Linked DNA regions of Callithrix jacchus. The protein of the gene in region 1 purifies or fractionates together with the protein of each later gene. This does not show direct contact. Links are inferred from orthologs where the notes say so. Each region holds a gene or a part of one and is shown in the gene's direction. Other genes may lie near its edges. The genes, in order: EP300, SMARCA4, CITED1, SOX9, SMAD1, STRAP and DDX5.

The links.
Region 2: the proteins of EP300 (region 1) and SMARCA4 purify together in Homo sapiens (affinity purification with western blotting; 4 studies listed by BioGRID, with this or other methods). This does not show direct contact. The link is inferred for Callithrix jacchus from reciprocal best matches to the Homo sapiens genes EP300 and SMARCA4.
Region 3: the proteins of EP300 (region 1) and CITED1 purify together in Homo sapiens (affinity purification with western blotting; 3 studies listed by BioGRID and IntAct, with this or other methods). This does not show direct contact. The link is inferred for Callithrix jacchus from reciprocal best matches to the Homo sapiens genes EP300 and CITED1.
Region 4: the proteins of EP300 (region 1) and SOX9 purify together in Homo sapiens (affinity purification with western blotting; 3 studies listed by BioGRID). This does not show direct contact. The link is inferred for Callithrix jacchus from reciprocal best matches to the Homo sapiens genes EP300 and SOX9.
Region 5: the proteins of EP300 (region 1) and SMAD1 purify together in Homo sapiens (affinity purification with western blotting; 5 studies listed by BioGRID). This does not show direct contact. The link is inferred for Callithrix jacchus from reciprocal best matches to the Homo sapiens genes EP300 and SMAD1.
Region 6: the proteins of EP300 (region 1) and STRAP purify together in Homo sapiens (affinity purification with mass spectrometry; 3 studies listed by BioGRID, with this or other methods). This does not show direct contact. The link is inferred for Callithrix jacchus from reciprocal best matches to the Homo sapiens genes EP300 and STRAP.
Region 7: the proteins of EP300 (region 1) and DDX5 purify together in Homo sapiens (affinity purification with western blotting; 5 studies listed by BioGRID and IntAct, with this or other methods). This does not show direct contact. The link is inferred for Callithrix jacchus from reciprocal best matches to the Homo sapiens genes EP300 and DDX5.

The regions. Positions count from the first base shown.
Region 1 is NC_133502.1:191,955,154-191,958,653, forward strand, and holds part of EP300 (histone acetyltransferase p300), read left to right. Parts: coding exon 1-334; intron 335-1,956; coding exon 1,957-2,136; intron 2,137-2,359; coding exon 2,360-2,504; intron 2,505-3,500. UniProt on the Homo sapiens protein: Functions as a histone acetyltransferase and regulates transcription via chromatin remodeling. Acetylates all four core histones in nucleosomes. Histone acetylation gives an epigenetic tag for transcriptional activation.
Region 2 is NC_133523.1:10,214,749-10,218,151, forward strand, and holds the end of SMARCA4 (SWI/SNF-related matrix-associated actin-dependent regulator of chromatin subfamily A member 4), read left to right. Parts: intron 1-85; coding exon 86-228; intron 229-2,353; exon of another isoform or gene 2,354-2,441; coding exon 2,442-2,474; 3' UTR 2,475-2,903; downstream 2,904-3,403. UniProt on the Homo sapiens protein: ATPase involved in transcriptional activation and repression of select genes by chromatin remodeling (alteration of DNA-nucleosome topology).
Region 3 is NC_133524.1:69,534,786-69,538,788, reverse strand, and holds the start of CITED1 (cbp/p300-interacting transactivator 1), read left to right. Parts: upstream 1-1,203; 5' UTR 1,204-1,336; intron 1,337-1,389; exon of another isoform or gene 1,390-1,880; 5' UTR 1,881-1,899; intron 1,900-2,108; 5' UTR 2,109-2,273; intron 2,274-2,474; exon of another isoform or gene 2,475-2,564; intron 2,565-2,988; 5' UTR 2,989-3,096; coding exon 3,097-3,109; exon of another isoform or gene 3,110-4,003. UniProt on the Homo sapiens protein: Transcriptional coactivator of the p300/CBP-mediated transcription complex. Enhances SMAD-mediated transcription by strengthening the functional link between the DNA-binding SMAD transcription factors and the p300/CBP transcription coactivator complex.
Region 4 is NC_133506.1:128,133,516-128,137,554, forward strand, and holds the start of SOX9 (transcription factor SOX-9), read left to right. Parts: upstream 1-1,239; 5' UTR 1,240-1,605; coding exon 1,606-2,036; intron 2,037-2,938; coding exon 2,939-3,192; intron 3,193-3,750; coding exon 3,751-4,039. UniProt on the Homo sapiens protein: Transcription factor that plays a key role in chondrocytes differentiation and skeletal development.
Region 5 is NC_133504.1:51,521,875-51,526,116, reverse strand, and holds the start of SMAD1 (mothers against decapentaplegic homolog 1), read left to right. Parts: upstream 1-1,442; 5' UTR 1,443-1,527; intron 1,528-1,627; exon of another isoform or gene 1,628-2,966; intron 2,967-4,242. UniProt on the Homo sapiens protein: Transcriptional modulator that plays a role in various cellular processes, including embryonic development, cell differentiation, and tissue homeostasis.
Region 6 is NC_133510.1:7,425,223-7,429,351, reverse strand, and holds the start of STRAP (serine-threonine kinase receptor-associated protein), read left to right. Parts: upstream 1-1,329; 5' UTR 1,330-1,650; coding exon 1,651-1,762; intron 1,763-2,484; coding exon 2,485-2,620; intron 2,621-4,129. UniProt on the Homo sapiens protein: The SMN complex catalyzes the assembly of small nuclear ribonucleoproteins (snRNPs), the building blocks of the spliceosome, and thereby plays an important role in the splicing of cellular pre-mRNAs.
Region 7 is NC_133506.1:89,766,629-89,770,621, reverse strand, and holds the start of DDX5 (putative ATP-dependent RNA helicase DDX5), read left to right. Parts: upstream 1-1,193; 5' UTR 1,194-1,304; intron 1,305-1,397; exon of another isoform or gene 1,398-1,558; intron 1,559-1,755; exon of another isoform or gene 1,756-1,790; 5' UTR 1,791-1,925; coding exon 1,926-1,969; intron 1,970-3,181; coding exon 3,182-3,347; intron 3,348-3,687; coding exon 3,688-3,784; intron 3,785-3,884; coding exon 3,885-3,993. Other genes in the region: CEP95 (centrosomal protein of 95 kDa), read right to left, coding at 963-981. UniProt on the Homo sapiens protein: Involved in the alternative regulation of pre-mRNA splicing; its RNA helicase activity is necessary for increasing tau exon 10 inclusion and occurs in a RBM4-dependent manner. Binds to the tau pre-mRNA in the stem-loop region downstream of exon 10.

The DNA.
Region 1 (3,500 bases):
GCATCAGAATTCCCCCTCGCCTGTACCTAGTCGTACCCCTACCCCCCATCATACTCCCCCAAGCATAGGGGCTCAGCAGCCACCAGCAACAGCAATTCCAGCCCCTGTTCCTACGCCTCCTGCCATTCCATCTGGGCCACAGTCCCAGGCTTTACATCCCCCTCCAAGGCAGACACCTACACCACCAACACAACTTACCCCACAAGTGCAGTCTTCACTTCCTGCTGCTCCTTCAGCTGACCAGTCCCAACAGCAGCCTCGCTCACAGCAGAGCACAGCAGCCTCTGTTCCTACCCCAACAGCACCGCTGCTTCCTCCACAGCCTGCAACTCCAGTAAGTAGAGATTTGGATTTAGGCAGAATCATTAGAGTTACACTGTAGTATTATATTACTTCTGGGCCATTTCTGTTATTCTCTTTTATCACTTACTGTTTTCTCCACAAGTAGAATGTAATCTCTTTTTCATTAGGGACTTTCTTACCCTGTTGTGCCTTGCTGTGATAGGACCTATTATAGTAGCAGGAGCATAAAGATTTTATTTCTATCTGACTTTGACCATTATGTTTCATGTTGTACTCTAAGGTTGAAGGTATGTAAAGAGGTATGGCAAGGGGACACAGTCCTCTTCCTTATTTAGTATATCATTTAGTGCAGTATATAAATATGACACATATTTAAAGAATTTTTTTCAAACAGTTTGAGCTGTAAAACTTAAGAGACTGAATTTTAAAATTCTAGAGTCAGGCAGGCATGGTGGGTTACACCTGTAACCCCAGCACTTTGGGAGGCCACGACGGACAGATCACTTGAGGTCAGGAGTTCAAGACCAGCCTGGCCAACATGGTGAAACCCCATCTCTACAAAAAATACAAAATTTAGCCAGATGTGTTAGTGGGTACCTCTAATTCCAGCTGCTTGGGGGACTAAGGCAGGAGAATTGCTTAAACCTGGGAGGCGTTGGAGGTTGCAGTAATTGAGATGGCACCCACTGCACTCCAGCCTAAGCAACAGCAAAACTCTGTCTTTAAAAAAAAAAATCGCAGATTTATGAGTCCCTGTGGCCCTATCCAAAATTAAAAAATCATCTAAGATGAGAGAATTACAGACCCAGAACAACCTGTAGCTCACTTGTGAGAAGTTGGTTATGTATATAATAAAAATCCAAATTCTCATATAATAGTTGAGTCCTTATTAATAGAACTCTTTTTGTTAAGGGTTTAGCAGCTTCTACTTTGATATCGATAGTAATATATTAGTTCTCAACAGTTTGAACTGAGAAGTCCCATGTGTCACAGCCATTTTATAAAATACTGTAGTTGATGGATGGCTGGTTCATCGTGGCCTCTGATAGACAAGGAAGGACAGAAAGAGGAACCAGTAGATTTGTTTAATTTTATTCTTTATAAAATCAAGGGTAGTTTCAGAAAATACTGACTTCTCATTAAGAGGTTTCTTATGACAAGACTTAGGAAGAAGATAGGGATTGCCAGTTATCTCATTAGAATCTAGTGATTGAAAACAGCCACTATGTGGGACATCATTATATTTATTCTCTTTTTCTGTACATTTGAAACTTTATGTAATGAGAAGGTAAAAACAAAAAAGATAGCCAGTTTTGTTATTTTCTTTCATCCCATTTTTGTATAAATATGAGCTCCTATGAAGCAGACATCTTTGAAACCCCCACACGGCCAGAGAACGATAGTTATCAGTGAAATAGTTGCTGGCTGTTGGATGTACACCCAGCCAGCCAGCATTTACGAGTCTTAATTCTCCTGTCCTTAAGCATAATTAAAGGAGGTGAAATGAGCAGACCAAATGAAGGCACCGTGAATGAATATAAGCCAAGAAATAGGTGTTTAATTCTGCTGTCCTGTTGCTTACCTTACACTCAGATTGTATCACTGGCAAACTGTGTGTATGTGTCTCACCCACTCCCCTTTTTTTCTGCCTAGCTTTCCCAGCTAGCTGTAAACACTGAAGGACAGGTATCAAACCCTCCATCTACTAGTAGCACAGAAGTGAATTCTCAGGCCATTCCTGAGAAGCAACCTTCCCAGGAAGTGAAAATGGAGGCTAAAATGGAGGTGGATCAACCAGAACCAGCAGATACTCAGCCGGAGGATATTACAGAGGTGAGAGTAGGGAAGTTACTATTTGATGTGGTTAGGACCTCAGTCTGGGAACCCAATTTTTTAAAAATACTGCGGAAGAATATTTTGATAATTACATCTCATGGCATGAGAAAGGGTGGTGAGATTACATCCATAGGGGAGAGTAAATGATGTAATGAATGATAGTGATCTTATTGATTCCCAAGTAGATATTTTTGAAATACTAAAAACCCTTTTCTTTTAGTCTAAAGTAGATGACTGTAAAGTGGAACCTACAGAAACAGAAGAGAGAGGCACTGATTCAAAAACTGAAATAAAAGAGGAGGAAGACCAGCCAAGTACTTCAGCTACCCAGTCATCTCCAGCTCCGGGACAGTCAAAGAAAAAGAGTTGAGTCTCTTAGGCTGTTGGTTCTAGAAGTAGCTGAAGAAACCAAAGACCCAAGGCGGTATTGTGATCATGCCTCTTGGGCCTCAGAAGTTGCCATTAATGTGATTTCATTAACCTTGAAGCCCTGGGCCTGGTCTCTTCCTTGTTACTAATGTATTTTTTTTTTTTTAAGTTATATTCACTTGCAGCAACCATTGAGTTAGTCATTCCCCTCATTTCTTCAGAGTTCCTTGGTTAGCACCCTCTAAAAATTCTCTCTTTGGCCAGGCACGGTGACTCACACCTGTAATCCCAGCACTTTGGGAGGCTGAGGTGGGCGGATCACTTTGAGGTCAGGAGTTGGAGACCAGCCTGACCAACATGGTGAAACTCTGTCTCTACCAAAAATACAAAAATTAGCCAGGTGTGGTGGCACGTGCCTGTAATCCCAGCTATGCAGGAGACTGACGCATGAGAATCATTTGAACCTGGGAGGCGGAGGTTGCAGTGAGCCGAGATTGTGCCACTGCACTCCAGCCTGAGCAACAGAGTGAGACTTCATCTCAAAAAAAAAGTTCTATTTCTCAAAAGAGAAATGTTTGTAAATAGCCTTGGCTAAAATACAGGAAAGACTAGGAATAATAATAGCATTTATCATTTACCTTCCGTGTGTTAAGTACCCACATTGTCTCATTTAATAATTTATTTTCTTTTTTTTTTTTTGGAGATGGAGTCTCACTCTGTTTCCCAGGCTGGAGTGTAGTGGCACAATCTCAGCTCACTGCAACATCTGCCTCCCAAGTTCAGACAGTTCTCTTGCCTCAGCCTACTGAGTAGTTGAGACTAGCGTGCCACCACATCCAACTATATATTTTTTTTGTTTTTTTAGTAGAGACAAGGTTTCACCATGTTGGCCAGGCTGAAACTATCCTTAAAGTGATCTGCCCACCTCAGCCTGCCAAAGTGCTGGGATTATAGACACGGGCCACCGTTCCTGGCCCCATGGACTCTTATTT
Region 2 (3,403 bases), on another chromosome or scaffold:
CCCTCCCAGCTCCCAGATGCCCCTTGCTGTAGAGGTGCTGTGTTCCCAGAGCTCACAGCTCCCTTTTCCTTCTGGTCCCCTCCAGCTCGATCTGTCAAAGTGAAGATCAAGCTTGGCCGGAAGGAGAAGGCACAGGACCGGCTGAAGGGCAGCCGGCGGCGGCCGAGCCGAGGGTCCCGAGCCAAGCCGGTCGTAAGTGACGATGACAGTGAGGAGGAACAAGAGGAGGTGAGGCTGGGCCCCGGGGCAGGCGGGGCAGGTGGGGCAGGCAGGGCTGGCGGGCAGCAGGAGGCAGCCCAGGGCCCTGACGGGATGGCCCTACGGGGCAATACTCCCACTCTGCAGATGGGGAAACTGAGGCTTCACGTTCCATGGCTGGCCCGTGGTCACACAGCAAGTACGTGGCAGAGCTGCCACTTAAGCCCAGGCCTGTGTGACCCTAAAACCAGCTATCAATACCTGTGCATGTCTGGGGACTGGGGGACCTGAGGTCTCAGGATGGACAGGAGGTGGGCCTAGGGCACCAGCGTCTGGGGTGAGGCTGGGCAGGCCAGGGGTTGATTGGGGTCAGGTGGGAGGTGCCAGGATTGAGGACCCACCAGGCAGTGCCCCATCTCCTTAGTGGCACACAGTGGAAAGTTTCTGGGGGGGCAGTGGGGGAGCCTGAACAGATACATTTACTGGCTTTTTTTGAGACAGAGTCTCACTCTATTGCCAGGCTGGTATGCAGTGGCATCATTTCAGCTCACTGCAACCTGTACCTCCTGGCTTCAAGCGATTCTTCTGCCTCAGCTGTCACCCCAAGTAGCTGTGACTACAGGCACATACCACCACGCCCCATGATTTTTTTGTATTTTAGTAGAGATGGTGTTTCACCGTTTGGCCAGGATGGTCTCGATCTCCTGACCTTGTGATCCACCCGCCTCGGCCTCCTAAAGTGCTGGGATTACAGGTGTGAGCCACTGCGCTTAGCCCCCTTGCTAGCTATAAATAAGATACGTCGTCTTTGTCTCTGGCCCTTCCTGGCTATGGGACCTGGCAGGCCACTCTGCTTCTGAAAGCTTCAGCTTCCTCTTAGCAAACAAGGAGGCTGCGTGGATTATGGGGGCTGCCCCCGCTCGAGGCCTGGCTCCCACCAAAGCCTGATGAATGCCATTTGGTCATTACAGAAGTAGGAAATGTCTGTGCCTGGGAATTAGTCTGACAAAACAGGCACGTGACCTTTGAGGACATTCATGAAGTCCTCATGGGGAAGGGAGGCCCGTGTGTCAGACAGGAGGGTCTGGGCTGTAGTGGCATCTCTCTTGCCCAACCCAGAACAGCGTGTTTTATGGCCCATGCCAGGCTTAAAAAGGCTTTATGAGGCCGGGCATGGTGGCTCACGCCTATAATCCCAGCACTTTGGGAGGCTGAGGCGGGTGGATCACAAGGTCAAGAGATCGAGACCATCCTGGTCAACAAGGTGAAACCCCGTCTCTACTAAAAATACAAAAATTAGCTGAGCATGATGGTGCACACCTGTAGTCCCAGCTACTCGGGAGGCTGAGGCAGGAGAATTGCTTGAACCCAGGAGGCAGAGGTTGCGGCGAGCCGAGATTGTGCCATTGCACTCCATTCTAGGTAACAACAGCAAAACTCCGTCTCCAAAAAAAAAAAAAGGCTTTATGAGGCCAGGCCTGGTGGCTCACACCTGTTAATCCCAGCACTTTGGGAAGCTGAGGCAGGAGGATTACTTGAGCCTGGGAGGTAGAGGCTGTAGAGAGCCATAATCGCACCACTGCACTTCAGCCTGGGCAACAGAGCAAGACCCTGTCTTAAAAAAAATTTTTTTTTTTTTTTTTTTAATAAAAATAAAAGGACTGGGCACGGTGGCTCGTGCTTGTAATCCCAACACTTTGGGAGGCCAAGGCGGGTGAATCACAAGGTCAGGAATTCAGAACCAGCTTGAACTACATCGTGAAACCTGTCTCTACTAAAAATATAAAAATTAGCCAGGTGTGGTGGCACACGCCTGTAATCCCAGCTACTCAGGAGGCTGAGGCAGGACAATTGCTCGAACCCAGTAGGCGGAGGTTGTAATGAGCCAAGATCGCACCACTACACTCTGTCTCAAAAAAAAAAAAAAAATTACATGAAAGCGCAAAGATCTTTCGCAGTCAGGAAGAGCCAAAATGTTTTGGAAGCTGTAGGTCAGGGGCCCAAGGCCAGGCAAGTGACATGGGACAGAGCAGGGAAGGCACATGGAGCCTCACGGGTCCCAAGAGAGTGAGTGTGGGCACAGGGACTGCTGCTCTAGAGAAACATGAAGTTGGGGTGTGGCCGTGGTTGCGGCAGCTTCTGTGGCCAGCGTCAGTTTTTTTTTTCTTGAGCAAGTTTATTTAATGCTTGGCAGGCCTCTGGCAGGGGCAGCTAACACTCACTCTCTCCTGTCTCCTCTCCAGGACCGCTCAGGAAGTGGCAGTGAGGAAGACTGAACCCCGACATTCCAGTCTCGACCCCGAGCCCCTCGTTCCAGAGCCGAGATGGCATAGGCCTTAGCAGTAACGGGTAGCAACAGACGTAGTTTCAGACTTGGGATAAAACTGTATAAACAAAAGAATCTTCCATATTTATACGGCAGAGAAGCTGTAGGACTGTTTGTGACTGGCCCTGTCCTGGCATCAGTAGCGTTTGTAACAGCATTAACTGTCTAACAGAGAGAGAGAGAGAATTCGGAATTGGGGAACACACGATACCTGTTTTTCTTTTCCTTTCCCGGCAGTTTGGAGTCACTGTAGTTCAGCGTGGATGCATGTGCGTCACCGTCCACTCCTCGTACTGTATTTTACTGGACAGGTCAGACTCGCCGGGGTATGTCAGTGTCACTGGATGTCAATCAGTAATAAATTAAACCAACAACAAAACGCACAGCCTACAGGTGGACTCATGCCTGGCTCCCCGGGTTTCTGCCAGCAGTAGTGGCGGGGCCACCTCATGTCCAGGTCCCCGTCCTCCCAGCACCAGAACCCATGGGGCCCATTTCACAGAGGAGGATCCTGAAGACGTGGCAGGGAGAGAGGACTTGCCTGGCTATGCAGGTGGCCTTTGCTGCCACAGCTCTCCAGCATGCATTCACCTGGGTCCTACGGTGCGGGGAGCAGGTGGCTCTGTCCCTTCCCTGCCTGTGGCCAGGGCTGGGTTGTGGAGACCCTCACAGAAACGGGCAGACGTCACATAGAGCTCTCGGTCAGGCCCATTCTGCAGGAAGCTCAGGGCATAAAGCGCAGGAAGCCCGGTGGTCAGGAAGGGCTTCTAAATCCAGAAAATAATTTGAGGTTTTCTTTTTTGTTTCTTTTTTGACACGAAGTCTGTGTCGCCCAGGCTAGAATGTAGAGGCGTGATCTCGGCTCACTGCAACCTCTGC
Region 3 (4,003 bases), on another chromosome or scaffold:
CCGCCACCCCGCTTTTTTTTTTTAACCTCAGGACCTTTTCTTAAAGAACAGGTTTTATAAACAGTGTAAACTGAGTAGTTGTTGCTGAAAGGCAGCAGAAAAAGTGCAGCGGTGGCGAGGGGGCGGTAATAGGTAATCCTGATGACCTTCCCGTGAGAGGTATGGTGGGAATTTCTTGGCCACAGAGAACACGAATTGAGATAAGGGAGAAGACCCAGACCTCTTTCCAGTAAGGATTTGTAAGACATCTCTATCCAAGGAAGACGAACTCCAAATGCAAAATGTTATTCTTGCTAGACGCGAATGATTATATAATCATAGTAAAAGAACCTGGCATCGTAGGAAGGCAGAAGGAATCTCCACGAATTCTGGTGCAAGCTCTTCGTATCCTGTTGCCGGCTGTTGGTTTTTCAGCGAGCCTCCTGAGCTGCACCTAGCCCCACGGTCCGGGAGAGTAGCATTTCTCCGCGTCGCATCTTGCCAGCTTCCTGCTCTGGATGACCACAGAGCAGAAACCCTCCAACGCAACCCCAGCTCAGGACTTCGAGGAGAGCCACCACTGCCCTTTAGGCCCTCCATGCGACTCTGCGCAGAATCTGGCAACTTTAAGAGGAAAAGGAACCCCCAGCCTCAGCTGTTAAACGAATGAGATAGTACAGCCACCCCCTGCCCCACCACAAAAGGCAGACAGGATACAAAGCCCCGCAGAAAGCCCCGCAGAAAACTAATGACCATGCCCCGTCCCGTGTGCCTTAGACCTCTATTCCAGGTCACTCCTTGAGCCCACAGCTCTCTCCCAAAACCCCCGAAGCCCGCTTTGGCTCCCCGCTAGATTTAGGTCAGAAAACAGACACTAACGGCTCTCCTTTGCCTCAGTGAAATTACTAAGTGGAATTTATTGGGCAAGTCCACGCAGGTCGGTGGGGAGAGCCGGTGTCCCCGGCCCTGGCCCCCGACAGCTTTAGAAGCCGGGCACCGGCCAGGGCTCTGGGCGAGGGGTGCCCACAGCCAGGACTCCCCAGCCCCAACCCGGGAGCCGTGGCCGGTCCACAGGGCTGCAGGACCCGCGGGGCCGCGTGGACTCCGTTCCCCAGCCGGCCCTTCGCTTTCACACGATCCGGGGTGGCTGCACCAGCTTGAGCGCCTTTAAAGGGCCACACAAGGCAGCCACTGCTATAAAAATGTTCCCGGCGGCACAGCTGCAGAAGGGGCACCGCTGAGCTGCCGAGAGGAAGCTCGCTCTGCCCGGCTGCCCTCCTGTAGCCCGCCGGCGAGGGGCAGTTCGCGGTGAGGACAGAGAAAGAAGAGGACTGCACAACACTCGCGCGGGCCCTCCGTGAGTATCCAGTTCAGATTTTGCCACCAACTCGCCCAAGAGCCAGGACATGTGCTAATAATGCCCTAAGCCGGTTATAAAGACGTGGAAATTGGGGGGAGAAAAAAAAAAAGGGAAAAAAAGGGTCTGTCCTTCCTGGGATTCCTAGCCAAGGCCAGTCTGCTGTCGTGTGCGTGTGCGTCAGGGCTCTCCGGGCTGCAATGGGGGCTTGAGAGCCGGGTCCCCCGCGCCGGGAAGGGAGCGCGGTGGCCGACACCGCCACCGCCACCGCCCCGGAGTCCGGCGCCGAAACCGCGGGCGGGCGGGCGGGAGGGCACCGGCTAAGGCCGGAGCTGCTTGGCGTGGCACTGTGCGGTGCAGCGGCTGCGCGGCGCGGTGCGGGCTTTTCCCAGGCGCCTCGGGGTCGGGTGGCCACCGGCGCGGCCGCGGGCTCTGAGCGCGACCGGCTCGCGGCGGCGGTGGCGGTGGCGGCGTGCGTGCCAGGGGCTGGGGGCTCCGCCGCCTCTCCTGCGGCTCACCGAGCTCCGCGCTTCCCTCTCTCCAGGGCAGGCGGCTTCGCAGAGGTAAGCCGGGCCGCCGGGCTGGGCGCCGTGCTGGGCGGCGGGGCCGAGGACTCCCGTGTAGCGGGTGTGGGGAGCTGTGTGGGGAGCGGGTGGCCGCCAGGCGGGCCGGAGGGTTCTGTGGAGACTTGTTTTCTGTTGGAAAGCTACTCTGCTGGGGGCGAGGGGCCGCTGCTGCCGCCCGCCAGCCAGCGCGCCGGTTCGCTCGCCAGCCCGCCCGCCTGCCGGCCAGCCGGGCCAGGCGCCCGCTTCTCCCGGGGAGACGGCAGAACCTTTTCTCCCCGCGCCCGCGCTTTCTCCAGCTTGGCTTCCACCGACTTTCCTAATCGCCCGGACCGCATCTGGAAGCTCCGGCTCCGGAGCTGCACAAAGCTCAGGTTTCCTTCGGGGAATGGAGGCAAAAGGGGCTTTTCGGGCCGAGTTCAGCGTTAATTGCGGGATGGAAGTTAGTGAATTTGGACAACTTGCCTCTGCTGCCCAGTCGACCTCAGCTCTCCCCTCCCCCGACACACGCCCACACACACACACCCACGCGCACACCCCTCTCCCTATAAACGCGAGCGGCCGAGCCGCGCGCCGAGTCCCTGCCTCGCAGAGCTCCGGACTTGGAGTCAGAGAGACCTGGCTGCGAATCCCGGCTCCGCCACTTTCTAGCGCTGTGACCTTGGGCAAGTTACTGCACCTCTCCGAGCCTCTCTCACTCTTCTTGTAGCGGGATTTTAGCGCTGACCGCAGGCGGCTTGGCTAGCGAGTAGGCTCAGCCTGCGGCCGCGTCGGATGCTCAGCAGGCGCTAAGTGTTGATGAGGCGCGGGAGTGGCTGCTGCCGGCGCCGGAGTGCGCCCCCGCTCGCGGAAACGCAGCGGGCCCCCGGACTCGCCGAGGCCGACACCCCGCGCCCCTTCCTGCCTGTCCATCCTGTCTCTTCGATCAGTTCCTGATCCAGCACTTGCGGGAACGGACGCTCAGTGCCCCGGTGGCCTGGGTGCTCGCGCCCGCCGTGCAGGATGCTCCCGGCTGCCCCCGGTTCCGCGGTTCCATCTGGGATGCGGCGAGGAGGGCAGCCGAGCTGTCCGCAAACAACCGGCCTTTAGTTTTCAGGTGGCGAAACTGACTGGTCTGGTTAGAACGCGTCCAAGCCAAGCCGCAGTGCTGTTTGGATTTTTAAATTTCTCCTTCTGAGTGAGAAAATAGCAATCGAGATGGAACCATCCGGTTGGTGCCATTTTAACTTTTGGTCCCCCAACAGGTTAAAGATGAGGCCCCCACCTGCCTCTCTCTCCCTTCTGGTTTTCCTCTCCCCTTCCCACCCCTGTCTAGGCGGGAGGGGGCTGCCTGCCCAAGGGAATGCCTGAAGCGAAGAGCGGGCGGCGGGACTGGGAACTGGTGGCCGGGGGGCCGCGAGGCACCAGCCGGCGGGGAGGCACTTGTTGCTCTAGGTTTCCCAGCCGCCTCTCGCAGCCCGTTTTGCAGTGGTCAGCTCCCGGCTTGGAGAGCGGGCTGGGACATTTCCACGTTACCAAGTTTTGCCCTCGAACGGACTAGAGGTTGGTGACGGAGGACAGAAAACCGGGGAAGCAGAGCCAGGGATGCCGATCGAAATGCGATTGCCTCTTCAGACGCATTCAACAACTTACTGAGCGCCTGTGAAGCACAGACTCAGGCTGGGGGTCAGGGTGGGTGGTTGGTCAGTAATGGAAGGCTAAAGATCTGAATGGACGCAGGGTCTCTTCTGGAGGAGCCCCCGGCCTGAAGGGAGAGATGCGGTAAAATGGTCTTCCCCCACGAACTGACAGCAGAATAGAGATAGTTTTTCCTCGTTCTTTTTCTTTTCCTAATGCTTCCCTTTTGGTTTTGCTGTTGTTGCTGCTACTCCTGTTATTTTTTATTCTTTTTGTACATTCGGGTACCAGGCGGCATAAAGGAGAGGAAAGGCTGGATAGCATTGGGAAAACATGGACAGGGCCCCCAGACATTTTTCTTAGGACAGGAAAATTGCCTGATACTGATGGTACTAGGGCTCTTGAAGACGACATGTGTTAGGCTTCTTGTCTGGTGATCACTCGCTTTTGAAATATTTTTCTAAGGTTGCCTCAGAGAAGGAGCAGG
Region 4 (4,039 bases), on another chromosome or scaffold:
AGCATTTCGTGTAAGCACAAAGGTTGTGCTCAAATCACACTTAAAATACATCAGAGACACTACCAATGCCTCCCCCAGAACTCCCAACTGCATGAAGGTCTCAACCGCCCGGACTAGAGTCAGAAGCGCAGGCACTTCACCCCTTCAGGTGTTTAGTAAATGCCAGGAAAAGCAGGCAAGCACCACGACTCCGCCAAAGTGGAGCGTTTTGTCTGCGGTGGTGCCCATCTGTTTTTTGGCCTTTTACAAACCAAGTGACCGGCCCGGGCCTCGCGGCTCCGGACGGCCGCACTGGCAAACTTCGATCTCTCAAAGCCAGAGCAGTCTGCACATTCTCCCCAGACAGGGGGGACTCGGCTGACGTTTTTGACTCGGCCAGGAAGCAAAGACCAAAACGTCAGCGCAGTAGCCCCGTTACTAAGGAGCGTCGGCGGGGTCGGGGGGTAGAGGGGGCCGGAGGAGGACTTGTCAGAGTTCAAGGTCGGTGTGGCGCGGGGCGGCCCCGAGAGCACTGGGCTCCTGCGGCATCGCCAAGGCCGCCGCTTCCAGCCTTCTTGGGGACTTAGCGCTTCTTTCCATTGACTCCCTTTGCAAAAGCTCAGCCGAAACCTGACCAGCCGCACCAGCCCCGGCGAACCTGAGCATGTTAATCTATTTATATGGATTATTTCGGAGGAACAGCGGGCGTTGAGTCACCAAAACATTTGCTTCAAAAGACTATTTCTAAGCACTTTTGCAGGCAGGCAGGCAGGCTCCAGGCGCGCAAACTCGGCTACGCATTAAGGATCGGCTGCCTTTCGAATACTGCAAACTCCAGCTAAGTTCCCGGTGCCGCGGAGAGAGCAGTGAAAAGAAATGTCGGATCTACTGGGGATAGATCCCAGTCTAGACACACACACTTGCACACACGCACACCCAAAGATTCGCGCAGAGAAGGCACTAAAACTCTGGCATTCCGAGAGTACGACAAACTTACACACTTGAAGTCCCGGGTCCCCCGCCTTCCCCGCAGCATCCCCCCCCCCAGCCCCCACTACCCCACCATCCACCCTTTGGCTGCGCTCCCCTCCCCTCTCCTCCCCTCCCGTCTCGTCACCCAGCCCAGTGCCACAATCCTTCTCCCTCCTCCAAAATCGGGTCCAATCAGCTTCCTGCCAACCCTGGGACTGCCGCGCTGTGATTGGCCGAAGTCTCTAAGGTGAGGCGGGTATTTATTGAGGAGACCCTGGGCTGGGAGTTGGAGAGCCGAGAGCGGAGCTCGAAACTGACTGGAAACTTTAGTGGCGCGGAGACTCGCCAGTTTCAACCCCGGAAACTTCTTTGCAGGAGGAGAAGAAAAGGGGTGCAAGTGCCCTACTTTTGCTCTTTTTCCTCCCCTCCTCCTCTCCAATTCGCTTTCCCCCACTTGGAGCGGGCAGCTGCGGACTGGCCACCCCGCGCCCTCCTAAGTGCCCGCCGCCGCAGCCGGCCGACGTGCCAGCCTCCCTGGGAGTTGCTCGCTCCGCGTCCGGGCAGCCTAGGGGAGAGGAGCCCGCGCCTCGAGTCCCCGAGCCGCTGCGGCTTCTCGCCTTTCCCAGCCACCCGCCCCCTGCCCCGGGCCCGCGTATGAATCTCCTGGACCCCTTCATGAAGATGACCGACGAGCAGGAGAAGGGCCTGTCCGGCGCCCCCAGCCCCACCATGTCCGAGGACTCCGCGGGCTCGCCCTGCCCATCGGGCTCCGGCTCCGACACCGAGAACACGCGGCCCCAGGAGAACACGTTCCCCAAGGGTGAGCCCGACCTGAAGAAGGAGAGCGAGGAGGACAAGTTCCCTGTGTGCATCCGCGAGGCGGTCAGCCAGGTGCTCAAGGGCTACGACTGGACGCTGGTGCCCATGCCGGTGCGCGTCAATGGCTCCAGCAAGAACAAGCCGCACGTCAAGCGGCCCATGAACGCCTTCATGGTGTGGGCGCAGGCGGCGCGCAGGAAGCTCGCGGACCAGTACCCGCACTTGCACAACGCCGAGCTCAGCAAGACGCTGGGCAAGCTCTGGAGGTACGGGTGCCTGGTGGGGGTGGCGCGGCAGGGTGGGCATCGCGGCTGCGGGGGTGCTGGCCCGGGCTGGCTTTTCCCGCCCCGCCTCCTAGCGCCCAGGAGTTGCCATTCCGGGAGCCGACTGGATCGGGCTGGGAGTAGGAACGGGGTGTAACTGGGGCTCAGAGTTTGACAAAGTTCTGGCTTTGCTCTCGGGGACGAGGAGGAGGGGGTGGTAAGTGGAAGGGGAGGAGGAGGTAGCCGGAGGATGGGCGAAGGCTGGTGGGAGACTGGGAGATGGAAGGAGGGGCTGCCAGCCTGCTCTATGGTCGCCTGGAAGCTCAATCGGGGCGGGGGTGGGGGGAGTGAAGTTTGCCTCCCCCCACCCCGCCCCTTAAAACTGCACTCTGTCTTGCAGTCCCCTACACCCATGGAGGGGGCAGGGGAGAAACTGAGGTTGGAGGAGACCCTTGGCAGGAATTGTGAGGGGGAGGAGGGAGGCTGCTTGAAATAGGTGGGAGTATGGGGGGGTGAGAATTGGGGAGTTTCTTACAGCTTAATTTGGGGGAATGTTTTTAGAAGGTGTTGGGTTGGGGGCGATAACTCCAGCAGCAAAGGCGTTTAGGGGGCAGCAGCAGGAGTTGTTTTCATCTCCAGCGTTTCCAAAATAGAAATAGAAGGGAAGGGGCGGGAGGGGGCGGGGAGTGACCGCTCAGGTCGGACTGCAAGAACTTATTTATTTATTTTTTTTTTTTAAGAAAAGTTATGAGCTGTGGTTGGAGGGAGGAGGGAAGATGGGGTTGCCGGCAAAGGAAGCCGAGTGGTCCTGATCGCCGCCTGCTCCCCAGGGACCTGACAGTTCGGCGGGTTTCACTGACCCCCCTCCCTCGTTTTCTCTATGCCCCCCGCCCCGCCCCGCGCAGACTTCTGAACGAGAGCGAGAAGCGGCCCTTCGTGGAGGAGGCGGAGCGGCTGCGCGTGCAGCACAAGAAGGACCATCCGGATTACAAGTACCAGCCCCGGCGGAGGAAGTCGGTGAAGAACGGGCAGGCGGAGGCCGAGGAGGCCACGGAGCAGACGCACATCTCCCCCAACGCCATCTTCAAGGCGCTGCAGGCCGACTCGCCGCACTCCTCCTCTGGCATGAGCGAGGTGCACTCCCCCGGCGAGCACTCGGGTGAGTCGCCCCTCGGCCCCGCGGGACACACCACCCCCTGCCCTCTACCTGGGAGATTCTTCGTAGAGACTTGACGCTTCTCGGGAGGGACACGCCACCCTTTGCGCCTGTCCCACTTCCCTCTCCACCCAGAGCCTAAGAGGCACCCAGACAGACACAGGCGCGCGTACACACACACAAACACACCCCTCAATCCCAGCATCCGAAGAGATTCGTGTTTTGTTTTTTCTTTATTGGGAGGTAAAATGCCCTTACAGCCCTACAAGACCTCCCCCTTTCTTCCCTTTGCACCCCACCCCAAAAGCACACACAGGGCTCTTCTACAAGTAGCAATTTGGTCTTCCGGACCCTCCAGGCCCCAGACCCTCACCTGATAAAAGGGGGCTGTCCAGTGTGTACTGGCGGGTTAATCATTGGGCGACTTATCTCCTGTGCAGCGCGCCTCCCGCGCGGGTGCGGGCCCTTATTGCCCTGTCGCAGCGAGGGAGGGTGCCTGAGACCAGGGCGTCTGCGCAGCCCGTGTTGACTTTCCCGTGCTTGTTCTTTTATCGTCCGCAGGTCAATCCCAGGGCCCGCCGACCCCACCCACCACCCCCAAAACCGACGTGCAGCCGGGCAAGGCTGACCTGAAGCGAGAGGGGCGCCCCCTACCCGAGGGGGGCAGACAGCCCCCCATCGACTTCCGCGACGTGGACATCGGCGAGCTGAGCAGCGACGTCATCTCCAACATAGAGACCTTCGACGTCAACGAGTTTGACCAGTACCTGCCGCCCAATGGCCACCCGGGGGTGCCGGCCACGCACGGCCAGGTCACCTACACGGGCAGCTATGGCATCAGCAGCACCGC
Region 5 (4,242 bases), on another chromosome or scaffold:
AAAAAAATTACAGCTTTAAAATATCAGTTTATAGCTCCCCTCCCCGTTCAGGATCCAATCAAGGTCATATACTGCATTTCATTGTCATGCTTTTTTTTTTTTTAATAGCTTGAGGAAAATTCACATATCAAATGATTGACCCATTTAAAGTGTACAATTCAATGGCTTTTGGTATATCCACAGAACTGTGCAACCATCACCAGAAACTAATTTTAGAACAATTTTGTCACCCCATGACCTTTAGCTGTCACTCCCCAGGTTCCTCAATTCCTCAACCCTATGCAAACCAACAATCTACTTTCTGTCTCCATAGCCTTGCCTACTCTGAGCATTTCAGATATGTGGAAGAATACAATGTGTGGTCTTACTGTGTTATCTTCTTTCACTCCACATGTTTTGAAAGGTTATCCAGGTCACATGCATCAGTATCAGCACTTCATTCCTTTTTATGGCTGAATAATGTTCTCTTGTATGGGATATTTTGTACTGTTTATCAAGGGAGAGTTTTCAACAGGGGAGTGGCCTAATCTGAGTGGCATTTAAGAAGGTTCACTTTCCTGTTGTTCCAAGCAGCAGAGAATGACCAACTGCATCAAATGCTGCTTTTAGGGAAAATAGGATGAATTCCACGAATTGACCAGTAAGGGCGCAAATAGTTTAAGGAAAAAAGGAATTTACTATACATTGATATATGTTAATGATACACTGGATACACATGGCTGGGAGTGATGTTTTTTGCTTCATGTGAAATTTATTCCTCAAAAAATTATTCTTTTCTAAACGTCACTCAACGTTATGGTAATTATCCAAGATTTTATGCAGCTTCCAGAGAGTTGGCCAAGAGAAAAGTTGACTCTTGCAAGAAGATACTTTCAATGTCCATGCAGATCAGGTAGGTAAGAGTTAAGTTTGTTTTCGGGGTGTTGGCATCATCTAAAAGACTGTAGAAATTGGACCAAAATGTAGAGTTCTAAAGCAGTATCTCCTTGTGGCATGTTATTATTTGGAGCAACAAGGTTACCTACTCGAATCATTGTATCCTGAGTTGACACAAAACCCATCTGTTGACCCAGGGTTTGTATAAGCACGTGCAGTAGTTACTAGCTAACCACTTCTGGGTACGTTCAGCTTCTGGTGCCTGCAAATTATTGGAGAGTGAGTAAGGGACAACGAAAACTAGACATCAAAGGGCCAGTCTCGAAAGATAACTGTCAACATGCATTCCATATTTACAGAAGAGTTAATGAGCGTTTCAGAAAATAAACACATGGAGCATCGAAATTCACTTGCAGATAATGCACCAAGTCCACTCTACCGGGACTAAAGAAGGCAGGGTTAGGAAAGCCAGAACGCCGCCACGCTGTTTTTTCTCCAGGAATAAACGGAGCGTGGGGCTGGGGGTGGAAGGGGGTGACTCGGGCCGCTCCCCCTCGCCGTCCTCCAGCCCAGGCCGCGCTGCGCTCACGCCGGCCGGGCCGGGAATTTGGAGAGGATCCCTGGTCGCTCGGCAGCGGCGGCGGCGCGCGGGTGAGCGTGTGAGCGGGCGGGCGGGCAGGCGAGTGCGCCGGGCATTGGCAGCCGAGGAGTGGAGGCTGGGCGGCTCCGACTCCCTGACGCCAGCGCGACCAGATCAATCCAGGCTCCGGGAGAGAGCGGGCTGAAGGGCGGGCGGAGGAAGGAGAGGCCGAGCGGCTCAACCCGGGCCGAGGCGCGGGAGGGACCCTGGGAGCGGAGCGCGGCGCAGCACCAGGCCGGCCTGACCGGGGCCGCGGGACCCCGCTCTCCCGGCCACTCGTGCGCCCGCGCGGATGGGCGCGCCGCCAACCCGGTAAAACGAAACAGACCCGAACCCAACTTTCCCTTCATGCTGCGTCCACGCCTTCCCCTCGGCGCCCCGGGCTTTCCAGAGCTGACGCCTCTGTACGCGTGGGGCCGCCGCGGTCCTGCGGGGCCGGGGGCGCGGACGGCGGCGGGGAGGGGGCTCTTTCCGCGCGGGGCGGACCGCGACGCCCCCACCCCCCATGATGGCGCCTCCCGGCTGCTCTGAGGAGCGAACCTGCCACCGCGTCCTCTCCTCCTCGCGCCCAGCCCGCCAGGCTCCCCCGGCGTCTTTGTTGGGTCTTCTGCTGTGGGAAGCTGAGTTCCCGGCCCCCTCTAGCCTCGGCCCTCAGGCCTGACCGCGCCGGGACCTCCCCAGCCGCGCTCCCTCTCCGCGCGCTCCTCACATCTCTCCGGTGCTGCAGCCGGGCCGAGGCCAGTCCGCGCGGCCCCGGGCCCATTGTGTCCCCGCGCCGGCGGGGCGACCCCTGCGGGAGCTGGAGAACGGCCGCCGGCGCTGCCTTCCCAGGCGCCTGGAGGAACGGGTCTCGTGGGCGGGGGACCCTGGCGCCCCAGACCCCTCCACATCCCGCACGGGTTTCCTTCTCGGCCCTAGCGAGCCTCTTTGGGGTCGAGGTCAAGGAAAGTTCGCACCGAAATCCCCTCTAATTTATTCAAAGGTTTGGCCGCGGCGCGTAATTTTTTCCTCCTCTTCCGCCTACACCCGCTTCGTCTCCTGGTGTCTCATTCCTTTCCCTTGACCGCAGTCGATTGCCTCACTGCATGTGTATTCGTGAGTTCGCGTTGAACAACTGTTCCTTTACTCTGCTCCCCGTCTTTGTTAGTGTTTCTCGGGGTTGTTTCTGTAGGAAGGTGGGGGTGGTGGGCGTGAGAGACAGACGTGGGCTTGTTTTTCTAGTTGCTGAATCTGTAAGAAGGCTTTAAAGGGAGAACGTTTCCTTGATGATGTGCGTTAGGAGGGGAGGAGGAACAAATGCCTGCCAGATCTCACAACTACAGTAGCTGCGCTTTTGTTTATTTTGAAGCGCATGCAATTTTTAAATAGACGGTGCAAGACAACCAGTAAAGACGCGTTTCTGAAAATTGAGACCGATCTCAGAACCATCTCCTGGGAAAGCATCATTTTCGTGAGTGCCGAGACAACTGTCCTTTTTCTACGTCCCCCCCCCCCCCGCCCGCTCCCCAGTCTTTCTCTCCTTTCCACTGCATCTGAAGTTTCAAAGTACGTGGAATGATACAGAAGTTGCATTTCTGTTGTGTCTTCCTGTTGCTGGAACTCTCAGCTGCTAAATCTCAGAATGCCTTTATTTCAATAAGAACATCTTTGGCTCTAATTGCCTGTTGCGGGTAACTTGCCCACATTTCAGTAACACAGTGAGAAAACTGTTCCCTGCCCATGTTGATTTTTCATCTTGTTTGTAATTAAATTGTATTGAAGGTAGGTGAGCTGTATTAAAAAAGAATCGGGACAGAACCAGTGTTTACTGCCCCAGCATTTTCAATTGGTATAAATATTGTTGCATCAGTGTTATTCTGATGTAGGTGCCAGATCTAAATATGCTGTACTGATTAAAATGTTTGTTCTGCCCTCTCCCACTCTCCCATTTTCAGTTATTTGATATTTCTGTGCAGGTGGTGTATCATTGGTGGTGTAATACTGCAATTCTTAGTAAAGTTTAACTAGGGTTGTGAAAGATGATTTTTCTGGAGGTGGGTGATGCCAGAGGCTCTAGAGGATCCAGGAAGGATCGGGTTTCTTCTGAGGGTAGGGATTTGTCCTTGATTTAGTTTTGACCCCTGCAACCATAGGTATGTAACCAAATACATTTTTCCTCTTGCTGTATCCTTTGGTTTCATATCCTTGAAGAGCTGATGATCTTTGTGTTTTAGAGAAATGACAGTTTTTAGGCAATTAAAAAAACATTGACCTCTAAGACTTCTTGGAATTTAATTTTATTTCTACTAAGTTTAGTAAGGCAGTAAGATGAAGTAAGTCACATTTTCTCAACTGCATTTGTTACATTTATTAGTTAAAAACTAAATTTCACTTTGTAATTTCGATTTCTAGCAATTCTGGGTTAAAGATAAAATCTAATAACTTAGTAGATTGAAAATAAGAAGTAACTTGGGTGTAATTAGACAAACATGTTTAAGCTGCAGTAGCCTCCATAATCAAGGCCAAGTGTGTGTGTATAACAGATCTCATTTGTGTAGTCTTACAAAGCTAATGGAAGCATCACTGAGGCTTTATAAATAATGTAAGTTGTGTATAATGTAGAGTCTCCAGAGACTGCAGAGAAAGCATCATTACCAGGCTTTTCAACCTGCTTGAGATCTTAAATTGATTTACAGCACTGAACTAGTGCAAAATGATACATCAGGATGACATGGGGTCAGCCTGTA
Region 6 (4,129 bases), on another chromosome or scaffold:
AGAAGTTTCTGACTTTACCTGGAGCTGAGTCAAGTTAGAGAGCCGAGTGAAATACGGGGTAGAGGAAGCAGCGGAAAGGCCTTGGGAGCTCACTGGGTCCCCAAGCGGCCCATTCCTGCCTGGGACCACAGGGATCCATTGGAAGAGTGGCCAGGGGAGCAGATGGCAAAACTCCACAGGAAGAAGGAATCTGTAGCTGAACTTTGTAACAATGTGAACTGGGCAAGAAGCCTGGCCAGAACTTGGGGGACTGTGCGAATCTGGCTTGCACACTACACAGGCAGGGGAAGAACTAAAGCCCTTTTCTTTTGCAGCTGGGAGGTAGATAGCATCAGGCAAATTTTCAAGCCTGTCTCACCCTCCACCTGGAAACAGACTCCGGGCTGTTGCAGGGTCACAGTGGGAATGAGACCAGCCCTTTGCTTTGCATGGGATCTGAATGAGGCCTGTGACTGGGGGCTTTCTCCTACTTCCCTGACAACCTGCATGATTCAGCAGAGGCAGCCATAATTCTCCTGTATACACAATCCCAGTAGCCTGGGAATCTCACGCCCATTCCCCACAGCACCCGCAACAAGGCTGCCCAAATAGAGTCTGAGCTCAGACACACCTAGCCCTGCCCCTACCTGGTGGTCCTTCCCTATTCACCCTAGTCAACCAAGGAAAAAGTAACTTGAATTTGAACCGCGTTTAAAAGCACATAGTATCGACGCCTACAACACTAGCAACACAAAATTGACACAGCAGGAGATGGCTGGGGAATTTGTTTTTTAAGATAGGGTCTCGCCCTGTTGCTGAGGCCGGAGTGCAGTGGCCGACCGCTCGGGCTCCAGTAATCCTCTCACCCCAGCCTCCCAGGTAGGTGGGACCACAGGTGGCACCACGTCAAGCCCGTATGCAGTCTTTACATAAGACAAATTGCAAAAAATGTTGCTAGACAGTGTTCGCTAGTTTGGGCCGTCGGTGGGAACGGCTCCAGTGTCCGTCTAGATGATCAGATGCCGGGGACAGTCCTCAGCGGGGCTGCTCGGCGGGCACAGAGCAGCCGCTGGCCCATGGGCTTATGGGAGTGGGAACGGCTTTTAACTCGGCCGCGAGCGGGGAAGGCGTTCTGACCCGCTAGAGCTCGGGGCGAGGGACCCTACCCGCTGCCTAGAGCGCCTCTAGGCGCCTGCCGTAGCCGGCGCGGGCCGGTGCTAGCGGTCCGATAAGAACTCAACCGGCTCCTGCACCTCCCTGTACTTCTCGCTGCTTCTTCCAGTCACTTCTACCCCGCGAGTCGGCCCGCCCGCCAATCGTCACTTCCGGCGGGTGCTGCGCATTATTTACGTCGTCACTTCCTGTCGATGCCGGTGTGGACGCTGTGAATCGTGGCTGGGTCGGTTCTCCGCTTCTCCCCGTCCCCTACTTTCCTCCCTCCCTCCCTTTCCCTCCCTCGTCGACGGTCGCTCGCCCGTCGCAGACTCCCGGACCCCACCCTCACCCCTTCCTAACCTCCGTGCCACCGGATTGCCCTCCTTTTCCTGTCTCCCAGCCCAGCCCCAGTGTCAGGGCGGGGGCCTGGAGGAGCCGGAGGCGCTGCAGCAGACGAGAGAAAAAGACAACGACGACCCTCGGCTCTCCAGTCCGGTAGCCGCACTCGCCGCCGCCATGGCAATGAGACAGACGCCGCTCACCTGCTCTGGCCACACGCGGCCCGTAGTTGATTTGGCCTTCAGTGGCATCACGCCTTATGGGTATTTCTTAATCAGCGCTTGCAAAGGTGAGCAAGGCCTCTGATCCTTGTCCCCGATCGCTGGGACTGGGCTGAAAGGGATTGGGACCCGCACGCTCCAGTGCCGAAGCGCGGGGTTGGCGGGGGCGGGGAGGGAACGCTATTAACCTCCGAAGTGAGGGCCAGCACTGGAAGTCCGGTGGAGAAAGCAATGTGTTCGAGAATCCGCAACTGGAGCCGAGAGACCTCTGGACGCTTTTGTAGAGACTGTTACCTCCAACTAAGACCCCTCTCGTTGTTTTCTTTTTATTGCTATTTTTGGAGGAGCTGGACAGCACTTGCCTGCACTCTCGGGACAACGTTGTAAATAGCTTTCAAGGATTTGGGGAAAGGAGAAATTAGGCCAGGCCGTGAAATACTTAACAAAGACGTTCGCTCTTGTCTCACTGGATATTCCTTTGTGGCATTAGCCTTATTTTTCAGATGGGAAACTGAGATTTAGGCTAAGGTGTTTGTCCAAATTAAGAGTCAAATCTAGATTGTTTTGACGCAGATCAGCATTCCCACCGAATTACAGATGCTTTTCAGAGAGAATGGTCTGTTCGGCTCTCAGTTAATTTATTTCTGGACGTTCCTTGGTGACTTCAATGGGCGGTTAAATAGTTGAAACGATTTTTCCACTTTGTCATTGAACATCATTGTATATTTACATTTGCATCTTAGACTTTAATCTGAACTTTAAATCACATGTCTTAAAAAATATTTTCTAGATGGTAAACCTATGCTACGCCAGGGAGATACAGGAGACTGGATTGGAACGTTTTTGGGTCATAAAGGTGCTGTTTGGGGTGCAACACTGAATAAGGATGCCAGCAAAGCAGCTACAGCAGCTGCGGATTTCACAGCGTAAGTGTAGCCAAGATGGCTAACGTCGGTGTTCTCTGTAGATTGTGTCCAGAAATAATGAAAAAGTTCAACCTCAGATATTCATAGAATTCTGAATCACTGGCTGCTATGTAGAATGCCAGATGTTTGAGCTCACCAAAATTCCACTGTGGTCCTGTGTGCTTGTTTTCAGTGGTTCTCAAAATTTTCAGAGGCTTAAATGACTTATTCCTTATGTTTTGATTAAGACTCAGGAGCCTGCATGAACAAACACTCCAGATGATGAATATTGATCTCCTTTACGAATGCTGCTCTGTGTGTACTCCTTAGTGAAATCCTACATGGGTGGCCTTAGGTTTTTATCTCAATCCCAGTTTTTGTTAGCTTGCTTTAGGCATCACTAACACTCATTGTGTCAAACAAACAAAAACAAAAAAACTCAACTTCTCTTCATTTCCTAAGTTTTTGAAGGTTGAAATGTAAAACATTCTTGATTTTCCCTTACATCTAGATTATCATCATCTTTTTTTGATTCTGCCACTGGGATGTCTCCTGATTACAGTGTTCCTCCATGTAGTATCTGCTGCTGCCTTAGTTCACAATCATTTTTAACTTTCTTCCAGTAGTTTCTTTTCCTCCTCTTCATATTCCATATTGTTGTCAGTTGTTTTCCTAAAAACATGTTTGATCATGTCACTTCTCTGCCTAATGATTTTCCTGTCTTCCCTTTGCCATTTTAGTATTTTGTGACCTTTGATATACATTAGAATACCAGGAGAGCTTTTCAAATATTCAAATGTATGTGTCCCAGAAACTCGGATTTAAAATTTTTTTTGGGTTTTTACTCTCTCTCTATATATATACTTTTTGCTACATGTAAAAATACTTTTTAATGCTTTTTACTGTATAGACACTAGCTGTGTTTCCCAGGCTGTCTTAAAACTCTTGGCCTCCATGCCTCAGCCTCTCAAAGAACTGGGGTTACGGGGTGAACTGCCATGCCTGGCACAGACCTTCTGGTTTGATTGGTCTGAGGATGGAGTACTGATCATACTGATCAGTGGTGGTTTTTTTTCTTGCCTTTCTTTCCTGTGTGCAGCCTTAGAAGCACGGACCTGAAGGACACTTCAGTTGTTGACACTTTACAGTTCGCTTCATCCTAGTTCTTCAGCATCATCTTCTGGCCCTGCACACCATAAACCCTACAATCTAATTATACTACACTTACTGTTGCCAGAATATACCTTACCTGTGCTGACTTTTGACTGTTAATGATGTTACTAAACTGACTGGCAGTGGCCCTCTTTGCCTTTTTGGGAATGTATAATGTTTTATAAATCTTGTTATTTCCAGTTCCTACCTGGTATTTGTAACTTAGGAATTTGACACTTGATTGTTTAAACTGATGAAGGCAATATCAAGAGCTGTTGTACATACACAGATTTATTAGACTTAAGAGGCTGGAGAGTACAAGTATTATTGGTTATTTATTATTTATTATTTATTTATTTCATTTATTATTTTTGAAAC
Region 7 (3,993 bases), on another chromosome or scaffold:
AACTTAGGCTATTAAGAACTGGTATAATGACAACATCAACGCTAATGCATTTATTAAGTTTTTCTTTTTTATTATACTGATCTAAATGAAAGGAAATATGGGAAGTATATGAAAACATCCCTAAGCTCAGAATTATCAATACTGTTGACCTTTCCTGTGCTCCGGACTCCCCTCTCCCAGATATTGCTGGGACTTGCAAAGTTTAACGGTTTCTCTAGCAAAAGTAACTTCGCATAAAATACTTGTTCCCTGAAATGCCTGGCATTGGTAGGAAAGCACTTTCCTTCGGTACTAGACACAAACGTCTCCACTATATTCCGGACACATAACGTTCTGGAAACAAATGAGTGTATCTTCCATGCACATAATTCCCCTCCCCACGCCCATTTCTCACAGTTGGCCAAACCGTGAGAACTGGTTTGTATGCAGTCCTGGCGAAAAGGATGAAAGCGTCCTAGACAACCAAACCAATTCGCTTTTCAAAAGCGTTGCTAGACAAAGCCCATGACTTCAGAGAACACTGAAGAGAAAAAAGCACCAGTATTCTGCGACATGGGCATCAACAAATCTTAAGGTGCTGTTCCTTTAAAGACCAATACAAAAGTAGATTAGACCTCAGGACCCACAGTACAAGGGCGGAGGGCACACTGACAGCGGCCAGACAACTCCACAGAAGGACAAGTCCGGGAACGACCCTTCTGGTTGCTCTTTTTGCACCCAAGACCCGAGTGTGCTACCAGGCTCGCCCCAGTGCCTCTCTCCTACCGCCTATCACTGTTCCACAGCCTCACAGAGAAGGAGAAAAGCTGAGAGACCCTATCCAGAGAACCCGCCACCGCGACGCGGCGTCTGACAGTCACGAGTCCCGCCGACAGCCTAGACCCAGTCCGGGCCAGCCCAAGGCCTCCCTGAAGCTGGACGGCCTCAGTTCACACCAACCGTGACCCCAGGCCGACACTCACCAGCCTCCGAGCCGGCCATGTTTTGGAGGCAGTTTGCCGCCGGACCCCTACAGGCCAGGCAGGCTACGGTGTCCTGGAAGGACCGATCCACACAGATTCGACGCTTGGATGAGGGCGAACGAACCCAAGCGCTGGGAAGGAGGCGTGAAAGAGGGAGGGACATCAAAGGGGCTGCTCGCCGCTGATTGGTCACAGAGCAGCACTTCCTTTCACAGCACGTGCCAGGGCGGCGGTTTGCTGAGTTTAGAGACCATTCTCCGCTGGCCAGAACCCGGTAGATGATTGTCAGATCCGTGGGTCGGCAGCCCAGGCGGGTCCTGGGGCTTTGGGAGCGCACTTCCGGTACTATTTCGTTATGTATCCCTCCGCCGACGTCAACGGAGAAGTAGTGCGGCCCGCTGACCGGTGGCGGGGGTGGTAGTCACGTGACACGCCAGTCCCCGCCTGCCATTTGGTTACGGGCGTGAGGGCCCTTTGGAGACGTAAACATCTCCGAGTGAGGAGGGTTGGCTGGCCTGGGCAGGCTGTTTTATCGTCTGGCTGGGCCTGGGAAAGGGCGGGGTGGCTTGCTTGAGGTGTGGAAAGACGAGAAGAAGGTAAGGTCAAGAGAGTGCAGAATGAGACATTCCAATAGTGGGTGGGCCCTGAGCTGAGAGGCTCTCCTGGAGCGCCGGCTGCCGTTGCGGCTTCTGCGCGACGGGCGGGGCGATTAGGTCATAGAGCGGATCCCAGCGTTCCTTGCGGCGTAGGAGGCGGTCCAGACTATAAAAGCGGCTGCCGGAAAGCGGCCGGCACCTCATTCATTTTCACCGGTCTGTGGTCTTGTAGCTCCGGATTGTGTCATCGCCGTCCGTCCTCCGCTGCCGCCCCCGCAAGGCTTCGCTGTTGTCGAGGCCATTTCCAGCGACTCGTCGCACCCTTTTGTCTGTACTTCGTTCCCCGCCAACCGCAACCATTGACGCCATGTCGGGTTATTCGAGTGACCGAGACCGCGGCCGGGATCGAGGGTGAGTGTGGAAGCCGAGCTGTCAGGCCTAGCAGGTGGGGGATGGGACGGCAGGTGAGGGTGGCGGCCGGCGGGGGCTTTGGGGCTCGGACTCGGCCTTTCCGGATTCTCCTGGGGCCTCGTCTCTTGAACACTTGCGCCATTTTGATAATCACGTAACAGTGATTGGGAGTGGTTTATCGGTGTAGTGCCCTCAAGCTCGCTTTTTGTTGGGATTAGGAAGTCGTCGGGGCCGCTGCCATTTGGTAGCTGTTGGAGGAATTCAGAGGGAGCATATTGTGCGTTGGAAAGCACGACGTTTCGAGTAAGACGAAGTAGCAGCTCTTAGATTCTGCCTTTCAGGAGGTGTTTTTCGGGTGGCCGGGCATTCTGTGGGAGCTCTAGGACCACTTCTAAAGCCACTGATGCTGGGGGGGGTTAGGAGGGCGGTCGGCATTGCCGGCATCAGCCATGTGGCTGAGTCGCGGGTACAAAATGCCGGCCTCGGACATGGCGGCGGCGCCTTTGTTACCCCGCCCGGCGGAGGAGCTCAAAATGGCAGCGTCGAGAAAATGTGGCGCAGAGAGAAATGCGAGACAAAGGGGGAAGCGCCGCCCCAGCGGGAACGCCGCCCGGCCGGCTCCGCCCGGGCCGGGACTCCTCCCCCGGTAGTCGCCGGCTCCTCCTTTTCTTTTTTCCTGCGTTATATAATTTTTATTCGTTGATCGGGAGCTCTACCGCGGCGTCCCCCCAGCTCGGTTTGCTAGCAGAAGTATTTGCGAGAAAACCCTTGTTTTGGTCTCGCTGTCTGTGCTGTCTCGATTCTTTAACACCAAAGCTCTTTGGCTTGAAAACGGCCATATGAGTAACATCGTTGGGATGCTCTTTGGTTCGTGTATCCTTGTTATCCCTGATACTTAATTCCTAGACTGGTGGGGAAGATTATAGTAACCGCAAGAAGTGGTGTGTATCCGAAATTATGGCATCTGGGCCGCAAGTTCCCGACATGATAAATCCAGGGCTGTTTACATGGCCTAAGTGTGTACTTGGGACTACTAGAAATGTTAACTGTGGCTAAGAGAAAGACTATCGTTAAGGACAGTGCTTTGTTTACTAAACCTCTTAAGGTCGTTTTTCAGTGATCTGTAGCTTTGTGTCAAGGGATGGTAAACAAATCTGTATAGAAACCTGTGTTTAGATATTTGAAAACGTGAATAACGTTTTTTCTTTGCAGGTTTGGTGCACCTCGATTTGGAGGAAGCAGGGGAGGGCCTTTATCTGGAAAGAAGTTTGGAAACCCTGGGGAGAAACTAGTTAAAAAGAAGTGGAATCTTGATGAGCTGCCCAAATTTGAGAAGAATTTTTATCAAGAGCACCCTGATTTGTCTAGGCGCACAGCAGTGAGTAAATTAATGTGGCTTCATCAGGCTGTAACTCAGTAATGGATTCTAGTAAATGAAAATCTGACAGGTGTTTTGCAAATGATTCAATTTTGGTAGTTACGTTTTCTGACTTCATAATTGGGAAAGTTGTGACTCAATAGGTGGCTTTGGGATTTTTTTTTTAACTTAATTAGGTTGAGAACGGAATAAACTGTTCTTTTGCCATATAGTGTTTTCATATATGGGTCAGATAAAAACGAAAGCTACTTTACTCAATTACGAATTTAGGGGCTTACCAGTTACATTTAGCTAGGGGTGGTTGCCATGAACTTTAAGACTGTTAAAATTTGTTTTGCAGCAAGAGGTGGAAACATACAGAAGAAGCAAGGAGATTACAGTTAGAGGTCACAACTGCCCGAAGCCAGTTCTAAATTTTTATGAAGCCAATTTCCCTGGTAATTCTAGTTTTCAGTTCTATCTACCACTGGGATTTTGTTCCCACCCACTCCCTTTTACTTGGCATTACTAATTTTTACTAAATATCTGTCACTATAGCAAATGTCATGGATGTTATTGCAAGACAGAACTTTACTGAGCCTACTGCTATTCAAGCTCAGGGATGGCCAGTTGCTCTAAGTGGATTGGATATGGTTGGAGTAGCACA